2 linked regions of the Caenorhabditis elegans genome follow. The protein of the gene in region 2 purifies or fractionates together with the protein of the main gene of each other region. This does not show direct contact. Each region holds a gene or a part of one and is shown on either strand. Other genes may lie near its edges. The genes, in order: fce-1 and Y56A3A.30.

The links.
Region 1: the proteins of Y56A3A.30 (region 2) and fce-1 fractionate together in Caenorhabditis elegans (co-fractionation; one large-scale study listed by BioGRID). This does not show direct contact.

The regions. Positions count from the first base shown.
Region 1 is NC_003279.8:9,710,514-9,714,554, reverse strand, and holds fce-1 (CAAX prenyl protease 1 homolog), read left to right. Parts: upstream 1-1,835; 5' UTR 1,836-1,836; coding exon 1,837-1,925; intron 1,926-1,971; coding exon 1,972-2,113; intron 2,114-2,159; coding exon 2,160-2,880; intron 2,881-2,926; coding exon 2,927-2,994; intron 2,995-3,039; coding exon 3,040-3,348; 3' UTR 3,349-3,503; downstream 3,504-4,041. Other genes in the region: C16C2.4 (BSD domain-containing protein), read left to right, coding at 29-321, 648-973, 1,449-1,573; rnh-1.3 (RNase H type-1 domain-containing protein), read left to right, coding at 3,812-3,899, 3,948-4,039. UniProt on the Caenorhabditis elegans protein: Proteolytically removes the C-terminal three residues of farnesylated proteins.
Region 2 is NC_003281.10:11,973,561-11,981,246, forward strand, and holds Y56A3A.30 (SP-RING-type domain-containing protein), read right to left. Parts: upstream 5,506-7,686; 5' UTR 5,504-5,505; coding exon 5,442-5,503; intron 5,282-5,441; coding exon 4,575-5,281; intron 4,241-4,574; coding exon 3,248-4,240; intron 2,558-3,247; coding exon 2,072-2,557; intron 967-2,071; coding exon of another isoform or gene 946-966; exon of another isoform or gene 917-945; intron 700-916; coding exon 644-699; 3' UTR 568-643; downstream 1-567. Other genes in the region: ung-1 (Uracil-DNA glycosylase), read right to left, coding at 1-425, 471-529; Y56A3A.31 (SOSS complex subunit A homolog), read left to right, coding at 946-966.

The sequences.
Region 1 (4,041 bases), on a different chromosome or scaffold from region 2:
AGTATATTTCAATCAAATATTGTGAAAGAATTATATTCAGACAATGCTTGGAGATCTCAATAAAGAACAGGACGAATTTGAGAAGCAATTACAAGAAGAAAGAGATAAACTCAGAAATATTGATTTACCGTGGCAAGGACTTCCAGATGAAGAGCTCGCTAAAAAGCAAATGATGTCATTGTCAACAAACACAAGAAACTTTCTCCGTGATTCAGCAGCTAACAGTGAATATACTTACGAACAGCAACAAGCTATGGCAACTCTTTTACTCAAACATGATCCAAATCTTGCGAATGTTAGATTCCAACTTGTACCCAAACAGTGAGTTTTTAAATTATACTTTTTAAAAAGTAATTTTGAAATTTTACTCTACGTGTTAGGACCTGGACCGTAATAACACATTATAACTGTTAATAACACTTCTAATTTAAAAAAAATGTTGTAAAATTAATAAATGGCTCAATTATATTTCGAATACCCGCGCAAATTTCCTTTTAATTTTTGCAAAATAAAAACAAAAATCATTAAAAAATTCAGTACATTTTTTCAGTTATATTTAGTTATTGCATTCCATTTTCTAACACTTGAAGTAAAATCCCCAACCGTCTCCTCCAACTATTCTTCAAAACTTGAGAAATAAATTTCAGAGTGAAAGAGAATCAATTTTGGCAAAATTATTTCTATCGTATCGGGCTCATTCGGCAATCTATGCTTGCTCAAGGCACGGGAAGAACTACACCGACGCCTAATCCAATTGTTGAGGAAAAGAAGGTAGAAGAGTCAGATGTATCTGCTGAAGTTGCTCCACAATCGTCTTCTGAAATTAAAGAAGAAAAGAAAGAAAATGAGCCGGAAGTGAAGGAAACCGTATCTGAAGAAAGTTGCGAAGACGAGGATGAAGAAGAGGAAGAATTGAAAGAAACTGTTTCTGAACAACCTGCAGCACCAGGAGAACTAACTTTGACAAGTGTCGGTGCGTTCTATGTTTTTTTTTCAAAGTTAAAACTTTGATTATGTTATTTTAAATGCTGAATAAGTTTACGGTTTATTTTTTGAAGAAAGTACATATCAATGAATGGCGGATTGCAAGCAGGGCTGTCACAAAAATAATTAACAAAAAATGCGTGTCTTTTTCCTTCTCGTTTCTGAAAATTAACAGTTTTGAAAACTTTTTTTTAATTCTCTGTCCAAAAATATTAAATTTAAAAAAAAACGACAGCCCTGATTGCAAAGGATTAATGATGATAACTTTCGCCGCATCTTACGGTAATTGATTGTTTGCGTGGTGAGACCCATGCACGTTGGATACTGCCAAAATTATCATCTTTAGACCTCAACGTAATATTTAGACTGATGTCCTACCGCAGTAATATCAATTTAATTCGATTTGTTCCACTTTTTGACCATAAACCGCCGATTCTTAAAATTAATTTTTCTTTCTTTTTCAGATGAAGAATGGGAACGAGAAATTCTCAATGATTTGAACGATTACGATGATGTTGTTGAAAAAACTGGAGGAAAAGACGATGATGCATGGGAAGCTGAAATTCAAGATCTTCTTAATGCTGAATAATTTTTAATTACTATTTTCAATTGCATTCCAAAAGAAACAAATAATACTATTCACTTCGTTTTCTAAAATTAAAAAAAATTTCAGTGTAAAATTGTAAATAGCTCATGTTTTGATGTCCCGATGTCTATCTGTAATTTCAATGAATATTTCGTGATATAATTTACACGTTTTTTGAACTTTTTGTCTGTTCGTTAAACTCGAATCTAACATTTTACTTTTTCAATTTTTTTCAGAATAATTTACTAACATTTCTCATCTTCAGAATGGACGCAAGTTGTCTATTCAAAGCACTTTTAGCCACAAATTGGGCACTATTTTTATGGGATCAGTACATCACATTTCGACAGTACAAGTAAGTTCTCATTGTACCGATTTTTCGCAACGAGAAACATTTTCAGAGCTCATAAAAATGCTGTAAAACGTCCCAATGAAGTCAAAGAACTTATTGGAGAAGAAGATTATAAGAAGGCCAGAGACTATAAAATTGATAATCATTTATTCGGATTCTTCCATAGTTGGTTTAATCAGCTTCTCCTCACGGTTAGTGACTGCTGAAGTTTACTTTAAATGAAAAAATAATTTTCAGGCACAATTGATTGGAGGATATTATCCATTCCTTTGGTACGCAACGGCTAGTTATCCATTGCATGTGGCTGTATTTCTCTCAATAAACTCAATAATTGAAACAATCATCGATTTACCTTGGGATCTATATTCCACTTTTATTATCGAAGATGCCCATGGATTCAATAAACAAACTATTGGATTCTATTTCGTTGACAAAATTAAGAAAATGCTCGTCGGATTTGCTCTCACTATGCCAATCGTTTATGGAATTGAATGGATTATTGTCAATGGTGGACCATACTTCTTTGTCTATATTTGGTTATTTGTTTCTGTTGTTGTGCTACTTTTGATGACCATTTATCCAACTTTCATCGCTCCACTCTTCGACAAATATTTCCCATTGCCTGATGGAGATCTCAAGACGAAAATTGAACAATTAGCTGCTTCTCTCAGTTATCCATTAACTGAACTTTACGTTGTCAATGGCTCAAAACGCTCGGCTCACTCCAATGCTTACATGTATGGATTCTGGAAGAACAAGCGCATTGTGCTCTATGATACTTTGCTAAGTGGAGCTGAAAAGGAGAAAGTACATGAATTGTATGTGGCAGCTGGAGAGAAAATCGAAGAAACTGAAAACGACAAAAAGAGAGGAATGAACAACGATGAAGTTGTGGCCGTTCTGGGCCATGAATTGGGTCATTGGGCTTTATGGCACACTTTGATCAATCTTGTCATCAGTAAGTTGATTTAACTGAACTCACAGCAAAACGTAGAATTTTTCAGCTGAAGTCAACTTGTTCTTCTCTTTTGCAGTTTTTGGATACTTTTATAAATGGGAAGCCCTCTATCAAGTAATTATATTTAAACCATTAAATTCTTAAAATTTTAATTTTCAGGGATTCGGCTATCACGATACTCCACCAGTCATTGGCATGATGCTCATCTTCCAATTTGTCCTCGCTCTCTACAATCAACTCGCTAGTATTGGAATGGTTATTCACTCCCGTTCTGCTGAATTTGGAGCTGACGAGTTTGCTGCTAACCTCGGACACGGAGAAAATCTTATTGGAGCTTTGACCAAGCTTGGTGTTGACAATCTGTCGATGCCTATCAATGACTCACTCTACTCATGGTGCACTCACACACATCCTCCAGTTGTTGAAAGAGTAGCTGCTGTTAGAGCCTTCCAGGCAAAGAATAAATAAATTCCCATGTTTTACTACTTGTTTCTTGAATGCCAAAGTATTTTATATAATTTAATTTATGATTGTAATGTGATATTATTGCATTTTTTGAACTTAAATTTCGTTAATATTCTCTATAGTAAATAAATTTTTTTAAACAAAAACTGGAAATACAATTAAATTCCAAGGAAAATTTTAAAACGGAACGAGACTGATCTCTCGGTCTCTCATTCGCACAAACTGTCTCATAGAAGGGTCTCGCCGCGACTCAAATACAGTACCCGCGGAGAACAAAAAAAATGTTTTCTAGAATGTTCGCTTTATTGTTGTTTTGTTTTGTTAATTCCCGGGAATTTCCAGAAGTTTGCTTTCTTCTGCGAAACAATTCATATCATCATTTTGTTTTTATTAAGATCTCCGTTTTCATTCTTCTTTTCTCTCTCGCATGCTTTTTTCCTATCAAATGAACTGAAATTTTAAAGAAATGCCGTACGACTTCTACACCGACGGTTCCGCTCTCGGAAACGGCCAACAAGGCTCCAGAGGAGGCTATGGAGTTCACGTTCCAAGTGGTACGGTTTTTTGTGCAATTAATTGTTCCTTATTTGAACATATTTCAGATACATCGAAGAATGTGAGTGGCTCTTATCCACACGGACCACAAACCAACAATCGATATGAGCTGGAAGCCATCAAGCACGCCACCCAAATGGT
Region 2 (7,686 bases):
AGCCTTCAATATCGGATTCAAGCTCTTTATAGATATTTTTCAGCGATGGCGGCGGTTTTACACCCTTCTGAACACTGAAGGAGAGCCCGTGAGCTTGATTATCATCGTGATAGGGGTCTTGACCGATGATAACCACGCTGATCTCGTCGAATGGCAGAAGATTGAATGTTGTGAAAATTTGTGTGGGCGGTGGGAACACTTGCTTGCCCTTGTTCACTTCGGAATTCAAGAATTTCTCGATTTTCGAAATATAGCCTTTTTTGAATTCCTCCTCTAAAAGTTTCGACCAAGATTCACCGGTTAGCAGGGATTTTAGCAGAATTTCAGTTGGTTCTGGTGCTTGTAACTTCATTTTCTTGACTTCTTGATTTTCATTGCCCGCGGGAACTTTTTCCGGAATATTTTCAGTATTTGAAGCGGATTTTCTGAAATTTCGGTGGTTTTTTTTGAATTTTCAGAGCGGGAAATACCGTTTAGAGGCAGCGGATGCTTTGAGGAACATGTCCGGAATTCTTACAGTCTTCGACATTCTGAAATAAACGGAAATCTAGAAGAAAAAAAAAGAATTTTTATTCAAAAAACACGAGTGGAAATGAGATAAAATAAACCTGAGGGCATAGATAAGGATATTTGAAAAATTAAATCACAAAAATGGGAAATTATTCGAGTTATTTGCAGGCAAACCGGTGAATTCGTAACCTGAAAATGAAGAAAATCGATAAAAATCATTTAATTTCGCATTGACTACGGTAGGTAATTGTGTGCACTTTTGCGTGGCGGTGTATGCACAGAATTGATTTTTAAAAAAAATTAATTTTTTTTTAAATTTTAAAATTAATTTATTGAATTTTTCGACGATTTTCTTGAACTTTTCTCACACATTTTTGTGCAAAAACTCTTATTTTCAAACTTTCAGACTCAAAACGCACTGGAAAATCATTAGAAATGGCACCGAAGAAGAAAATGGTAATTTTTATGGCGAAAATTACTTGAAACAGACAAAAAAATCCGAATTATCGAAAAAAAGGACTCTCCCGCCGAAATGTCTCGTTTGAATGGGGTGGCGGCAGCTAGGCCGTGGTTGCACGCGGTCACGTCCAGATGGTCGATAATATTGGCGTTATTGGAGGAGTACGGGGGTTTTTAATGTATAATAATAAGAATAATAATTCAAAAAAAGTGCACTTTCGGACGCTGCAGCACGGAAAAGTGGCCAAAATTAGAGATTTTAGTTAAAATTAGCGCTTTTTTTTTCGAAATTTTGATTTTTTTTTTCACAATTTTCACAATTCCTTTAAAGGTGGGGTAGCGCTAGTGGGGAAATTGCTTTAAAACATGCCTATGGTACCACAATGACCGAATTTCATGATAAAAAATTCAAAAAAAAATTTATAAATTTTATATGATTTTTTGAAAATTGAAAAAATCACAGTTTTCCCCTAATTCCTATTTGAATTACCGCCAATTGAATTTGTTCGATGGGGCGCGCTTGCACGTTTTTAAATTTATTTATTTTATTTTTTGTTATTTTCCACCGATTTTTAATGTTTTCGGTGTATTTTTGCTCGAATTTTAGAGAAAAAATCAACATAAATGCAAATTTTCGATTAAAAAGCACGCTTACAGGCGTAAAAATGAAAAAGTAACGCTTTTAAACGATTTCGAACCTGAATTAATTAATTTCACTGATTTACGCCTGTAAGCGCACTTTTTAATCGAAAATTTGCATTTATTTTGACTTTTTCTCTAAAATTCGAGCAAAAATACACCGAAAACATTAAAAATCGGTGGAAAATAACAAAAAATAAAATAAATAAATTTAAAAACGTGCAAGCGCGCCCCATCGAACAAATTCAATTGGCGGTAATTCAAATAGGAATTAGGGGAAAACTGTGATTTTTCCAATTTTCAAAAAATCATATAAAATTTAGAAAAAATTTTTGAATTTTTTAATCATGATATTCGGTCATTGTGGTACCATAGGCGTATTTTAAAGCAATTTCCCCACAAAGCGTAGTCCACCTTTAAAATTTTTTGGCACATTTTTCTCAATTCCTTTTAAAAAATGTACCTTGATTCTGAAATCCAGGCTGCTGAGAAACCGTGTCAAACCCTCTGCCAACAAGATTATCCATGTATCCAGTGGTTCCACCGCCGTACCCATATCCATTGCCGAATCCATTGTTGTAGGTCCAACTACCAGGCTGATTTTGAAACTGGAACTGCTGGAAATTGTTGTTGGCTGCGAAGCTTTCTGTCGGAGGATTCGGCGTTGTTTCAAAAACGATATTCGGCTTCGGCTCAGGCTTCTTCCTCGGCGGCCTTTTTCTCTTCGGCTTCGGGATCGTCGCTGTTCCGTCAGCTACTACAGTTTCCACGTCATCTGCTTTCTTCCGTCTTGGCGTGGCTTTTTTCTTCGGTTGGGCTTGAATCGGCGGGCTATGAGCCTCATCAGTCGGCTTTACAGTGCTATAAATGTCCCGTGACAATTGAAACTCTGTTGGCTCTGGCACACTCGTTGTAGTGGCTTCTTCCAGAGGTTCAGCTACGGAAGAGGCTGCAATTAATCAATTTGTGAAGCAGGCGTGGGCGGCAAATTGGGCATTTTGCCGATTTGCCGGAAATTTTTAAATTCCGGCAATTTTCCACTTTGCCGGAAATCTTCTTTATCGGCAAAATTCAGGCAAATAAAAAAAGCGAATAAATTCACACTTGTCAAAGCGTAGTGCAAAACAGGGGTGGGCGACAATTTCCGGTCTGCAAATGTTTTATTCCTCCAATTTGCTGAGTTGCCAGAAATTTACGACTCCGGCAAACTTGCCGATTCGCCGGAAATTTTCAATTTCCCACTATTTTCCGATTCGCAGAAAATTTTCAATTCCGGCAATTTGCCGATTCGCCGGAAATTTTCAATTCCGGAAATGTGCCGATTTGCCGGAAATTTTTAATTCCGGAAATTTTGATTTTCGGCAGATTGGCGATTTGCCGGAAATTTCGATTTTCGGAAATTCGCCGATTTGCCGGAAATTTTCAATTCCGGCAATTTGCTGAGTTGCCGGCAATTCTGATTTTCGGCAGATTGGCGATTTGCCGGAAATTTTGATTTTCGGCAGATTGCCAATTTACCGTGAATTTTCAATTCTTACTATTCTCCGATTTGCCGGAAATTTTCAATTCCCACAATTTGCCGATTTGCCGGATTTTCCGCCCACCCCTGATGTAAAATATTCAATATCTCTGAACTCACCGCTCGCAACCGCTTGATCTTCATCTCTCTGTGATTCTACAGTTGAACTGGACTCTGGCTCTACATTCGGTATCTCAGCTTCGGGCTTCTTGGCAGTGCACTTCGGAATATCTTTTCTGGACGGCGGTGGCACAAATTCATATCTCAATCGTTCGACTTCATCTCGGCTGAGCCAAATATTTTTTATACGAGATCTCTCTGAACGTCTTGGAGCCAATACTTGAGCTTCTTGTTCCGGTGGTGTAACTTCATTCGTGCCTCCGATATTGCCGTCAGAGTGGCCACTACACTGAGGAATCGGAACTTCTGCAACATCCCAGTCGGGTGGAGGCGTTGAAGCAGCTGATCCTGATTCTCCAGGGTCTTCCATCGGAACGTCGGAAGAAGGATCAGTTGAATTCTGGTCGGAGGTATTGTCTCCCAGCTGATCGTTCGAAGAAGGATCAGTTGAAGGCTGGATGGTGCAGTTGTCCTCCAACTGAGCATGTGCCGAAGGATCAGTTGATGGCTGATCGGAGCTTTTGTGTCCAAGCTGAACGTTCACAGAAGGATCAGTGGATTGCTTGGTGGTGCTGTTCACTCCTATCTGGACATCAGAACAAGGATCAGGAGATGGCTGATCGGAGGTGTTGCGAAGCGGCTCACCCACATCAATCGTAGATTCCAGGTTATCCGAATTCGGATTTTGATCTATTCCAGAGCATATTTCACTATCGGTATTAGAGTTTTCCGAAACAGTATTAGAAACGGCTGGGCTCGACTGATCTGGCTGTTCTTTAAGAGATTCAGCGCAGCTTGACTTCTCGACACCTTCCGAGTTGGAGTGCTCGGATGCTTGTTGCTCAGGCTGCACAGCTCCAGTAGTACTTTCCGAAAAGTCGTCTCCTGCTCCAGCATCGTCAGCAATATCATTGGAACCTTCTGTCACTGATGGACTGATTTCGTTTTCCGGATCCTGATGAGTGGCTATGTCGCTTATCGGAGTCGCAGTATCTGAAAAGTTATTCAATTTTTCGGCAATTGCCGGTTTTCAAAATTTCGAGCAATCGGCAATTTCCGCAATTGCCGGTGTTAAAAAGTTCTGGCAATTTCGACAATTGCCGGTTTTGTAAGTTTTCGGCAATTTCGGGAATTGCCGGTTTTTAAAATTTTGAGCAGTCGGCAATTTCGGCAATTGCCGATTTTCAAAAGTTTCGGCAATTTCCGCAATTGCCGGGTTTTAAAATTTCCGGCAATTTCGGTGATTGCCGAAAATTCGATTGCCGTGCAATCCTGTCTCTGATGTACTAATTGGCTTGAAATAAGCCAATATTACTAAACAACTTACCTGTTTGATCTGAACTGTCTCCAATTTGTTGCGTTTCTGACTGCTGAAGTTCGGCATTTATTCTGACACTTGGCTCTTCAACCACGCCTGTGATCGGAATCAGCTTTCCATGAAATTCTCGCTTCCTGCCAGAAACTTCCTGATCTATTTGTTGGCGCCCAGTTCGAACCTCCTGGGTAGAAACCGAAGGTCTTGAAGCGAAGACAGGATGATCTGTACTAGGCACAATCTCAGGCCTCGGGAAGTAGCTATCATTCGCGATTGCGAACCGCTGACTTCGAGCCCGAGCTGCCGTGTACCGCGAGCTTCTCATCTTTTGCTCGCTAATCATCTTCAATCCGTCCTTCCAAGCATCGTTGCTCTCGTCGAGTTTATCCGGATTAACGAACTGTGTTTCGATGGCATGCTTCAGCACATCATTCACATATCGATGAATTATCATACTATATTCATAGTTTTCCAGTATATGTCTTTCAATCTCGGCAAACATTAGCTTCTCCCGTTCTTTGTTGGGCAGAAGCAACAGAACACACGCTTCCTGTGTCACTGTTACAGTGCTCAAGTAGTTTTTGATTCGTTTCACATCACTTTCGCTGAAGCTCGCTAGTCGTTGGCCTATCTGATCGAGAATCGTGTGAATCGTTGGATCGGTGAAGAGTGGAGTGCTGGATGTGCTTGAACTAGGACCAGGTGGTTCGGGATGTGATCTGGAAGTTTTTTTTTGTTGAAGTTGCACGAAAAATCGCGAAAAACTTCCGACCAATCAGCGATTCGCTCTGCCCAACCAATCAGGTGGTGTGGGCGGAGTTCGAGGATGCTGATTGGTCGGAGCGAATTTAGCGATTTTTTCAATTTTTGAGTACTTACTGCCTAGCAAGCCGGGGTACTTTAGGGTGATGACGCCTTTCCTCACTGTCTTCGTCGTTCATTTCTGGAAAATTGTTGTGATTTCGAAAGGAAATTGCAAGAAAATTGGAAAATCTCGATTTTTTTAGAAATTTATATGGAAAAATAGAGAAATAGTTTTTTTAAAAGGTTTTTTTTCAATTTCAAGAAATTCTGAATTTTAAGAATGTGAAAATGTATCGTTTGAAATATTTTTTCATGTTGAAACTCAGAAAATTATCAAATTCTATACAGCGGTTGCCGATTGGCAAATCGACAAATTGCCGGTTTGTCGATTTGCCGGAAATTTTCAATTCCGGCGATTTGCCGATTTGCCAGATAATATCATATCCCGCAAACCGCCAATTTGCCGGAAATTTTGAAATACGGCAATTTGACGATTTGCCGGAAGTTTTATTTTAGAATCCGATTGCCAATTTGCCATAATTTTGATTTCCGGCAAAGTGGCGGAATTTAGATTTTTGGCAAATTGCCGATTTGCCGGAAATTTTCAATTCCGTCAATCTGCCGATCTACCGGAAATTTTCAATTCCGACAAATTGCCGATTTGCCGAAAATTTCCCATTCCGGCAATATGCCGATTTGCCGGAAATTTTGACTTTCGCCAAATGGTCGATTTGCCGTAAATTTAAATTCCGGCAATTTGCCGATTTGCCGGAAATTTCAAATCCGTCAATTGTCGATTTGCCGGAAATTTTGATTTTCGGCAATTTGACGATTTGCCGGAAATTTTCCATTTCGGCAATGTCCCAATTTACCGGAAATTTTCAATTCCGGCAATGTGCCAATTTGCCGGAAATTTCAAATCCGCCAATTTGTCGATTTGCCAGAAATTTTGATTTTCGGCAATTTGCCGATTTGCCGAAAATTTTCAATTCCAACAAATTGCTGATTTGCCAGAAATTTTGGTTTCCGTCAGTTTGCCAAGTTGTCGGAAATTTCAAATCCATCAATTTGCCAATTTGCCGGAAATTTTCATTTTCGATAAATTGCCAATTTGCCGGAAATTTCAAATCCGCCAATTTGCCAATTTGCCGGAAATTTCAAAATTTCTGATGAATCTATATAGGTTTTACACATTTTTGTGTGCCAATTTTCTAGAAAAAAAAATTAAGCCCACAAAATATGTGTAAAACCTATATAGAGTACAATATTTTTTGGAAATAATTTTTTTGGCGGAATTGAAAATTCCGGCAAATCGCGGATTTGCCAAAAGATGCTCTATGTACATGAAAACATTGAAAAGTTGGAATTTCTTAAAATTTCAAAAAAAACCAAAAAAGAGCAGAAAATAGATAGCAATGCGATAAAAAAAAGAGCAAATATCAGAGCAAAATGCCATTGTGAACTATATGCCTGTGCCCAGTGTTCCCACGGCATACGGCAGGTTTCGGTATTGCCCACGGCACTGGGGACGATTGTAATGTGGTCAATGTTCCTCAATAAATTGAAGGTGGCTAGAGAAAACGAGACTATCTGTGCAACTGGTATGGAAAGAAAATTGGGAAAAGAGGAAGGAATGAAGAAAAGGAAAGGAGATGGCTGTTTTTTTTCTAGTCAAGAGGGCGAGAGTGAGGCTGTTCAGCCCTCACAAAAATTATGATGTTGGAGACATAGAGAAATAGAACGACGCCGGGACACAGACAGACAATGTTTAATTCGAGGAGACGCTGATGAATTTAAATTTGGAGAGGAAGCACTTTTAGAAGAAAAATACATTTGAGAAGCTTTTGGAATTTTTTTGGAGACTTTTGGAGAAGGATTTTGCCTTAAAATATCCAGAAAAGTCGAAAAAAATATGGAAATCCAACGAGATTTTCTTATTTTGGCTAAATTCCCTCCAAAATGAGGCGACCAATCAGCGATTCGCTTCGCCCACTCTTCAACCAATCGGGTGAAGTGGGCGGAGCTCGAAGATGCTGATTGGTCGGGAGGTTTTTGTGGTGTTTGACGCCGGGAGGAATTTAGACGAATCAGCGCCAATTTTCGTGCCAATCAACGCTGATTGGTTCAAAAGTGGGTGGAGCCAGGCTTGGTGATTGGTCGGTGTGGAATTTTGGAAATTTTGCGATTTCTTACCGTAATCCTACTGTAAATTATGGTAAAATAGAAATTCGGGATATTGGGAAATGTACAACAAATATTTCTCACATATTTGAAAATTGGGAACACAAAATTCCGAGAATGCGTATTACGCAACATATTT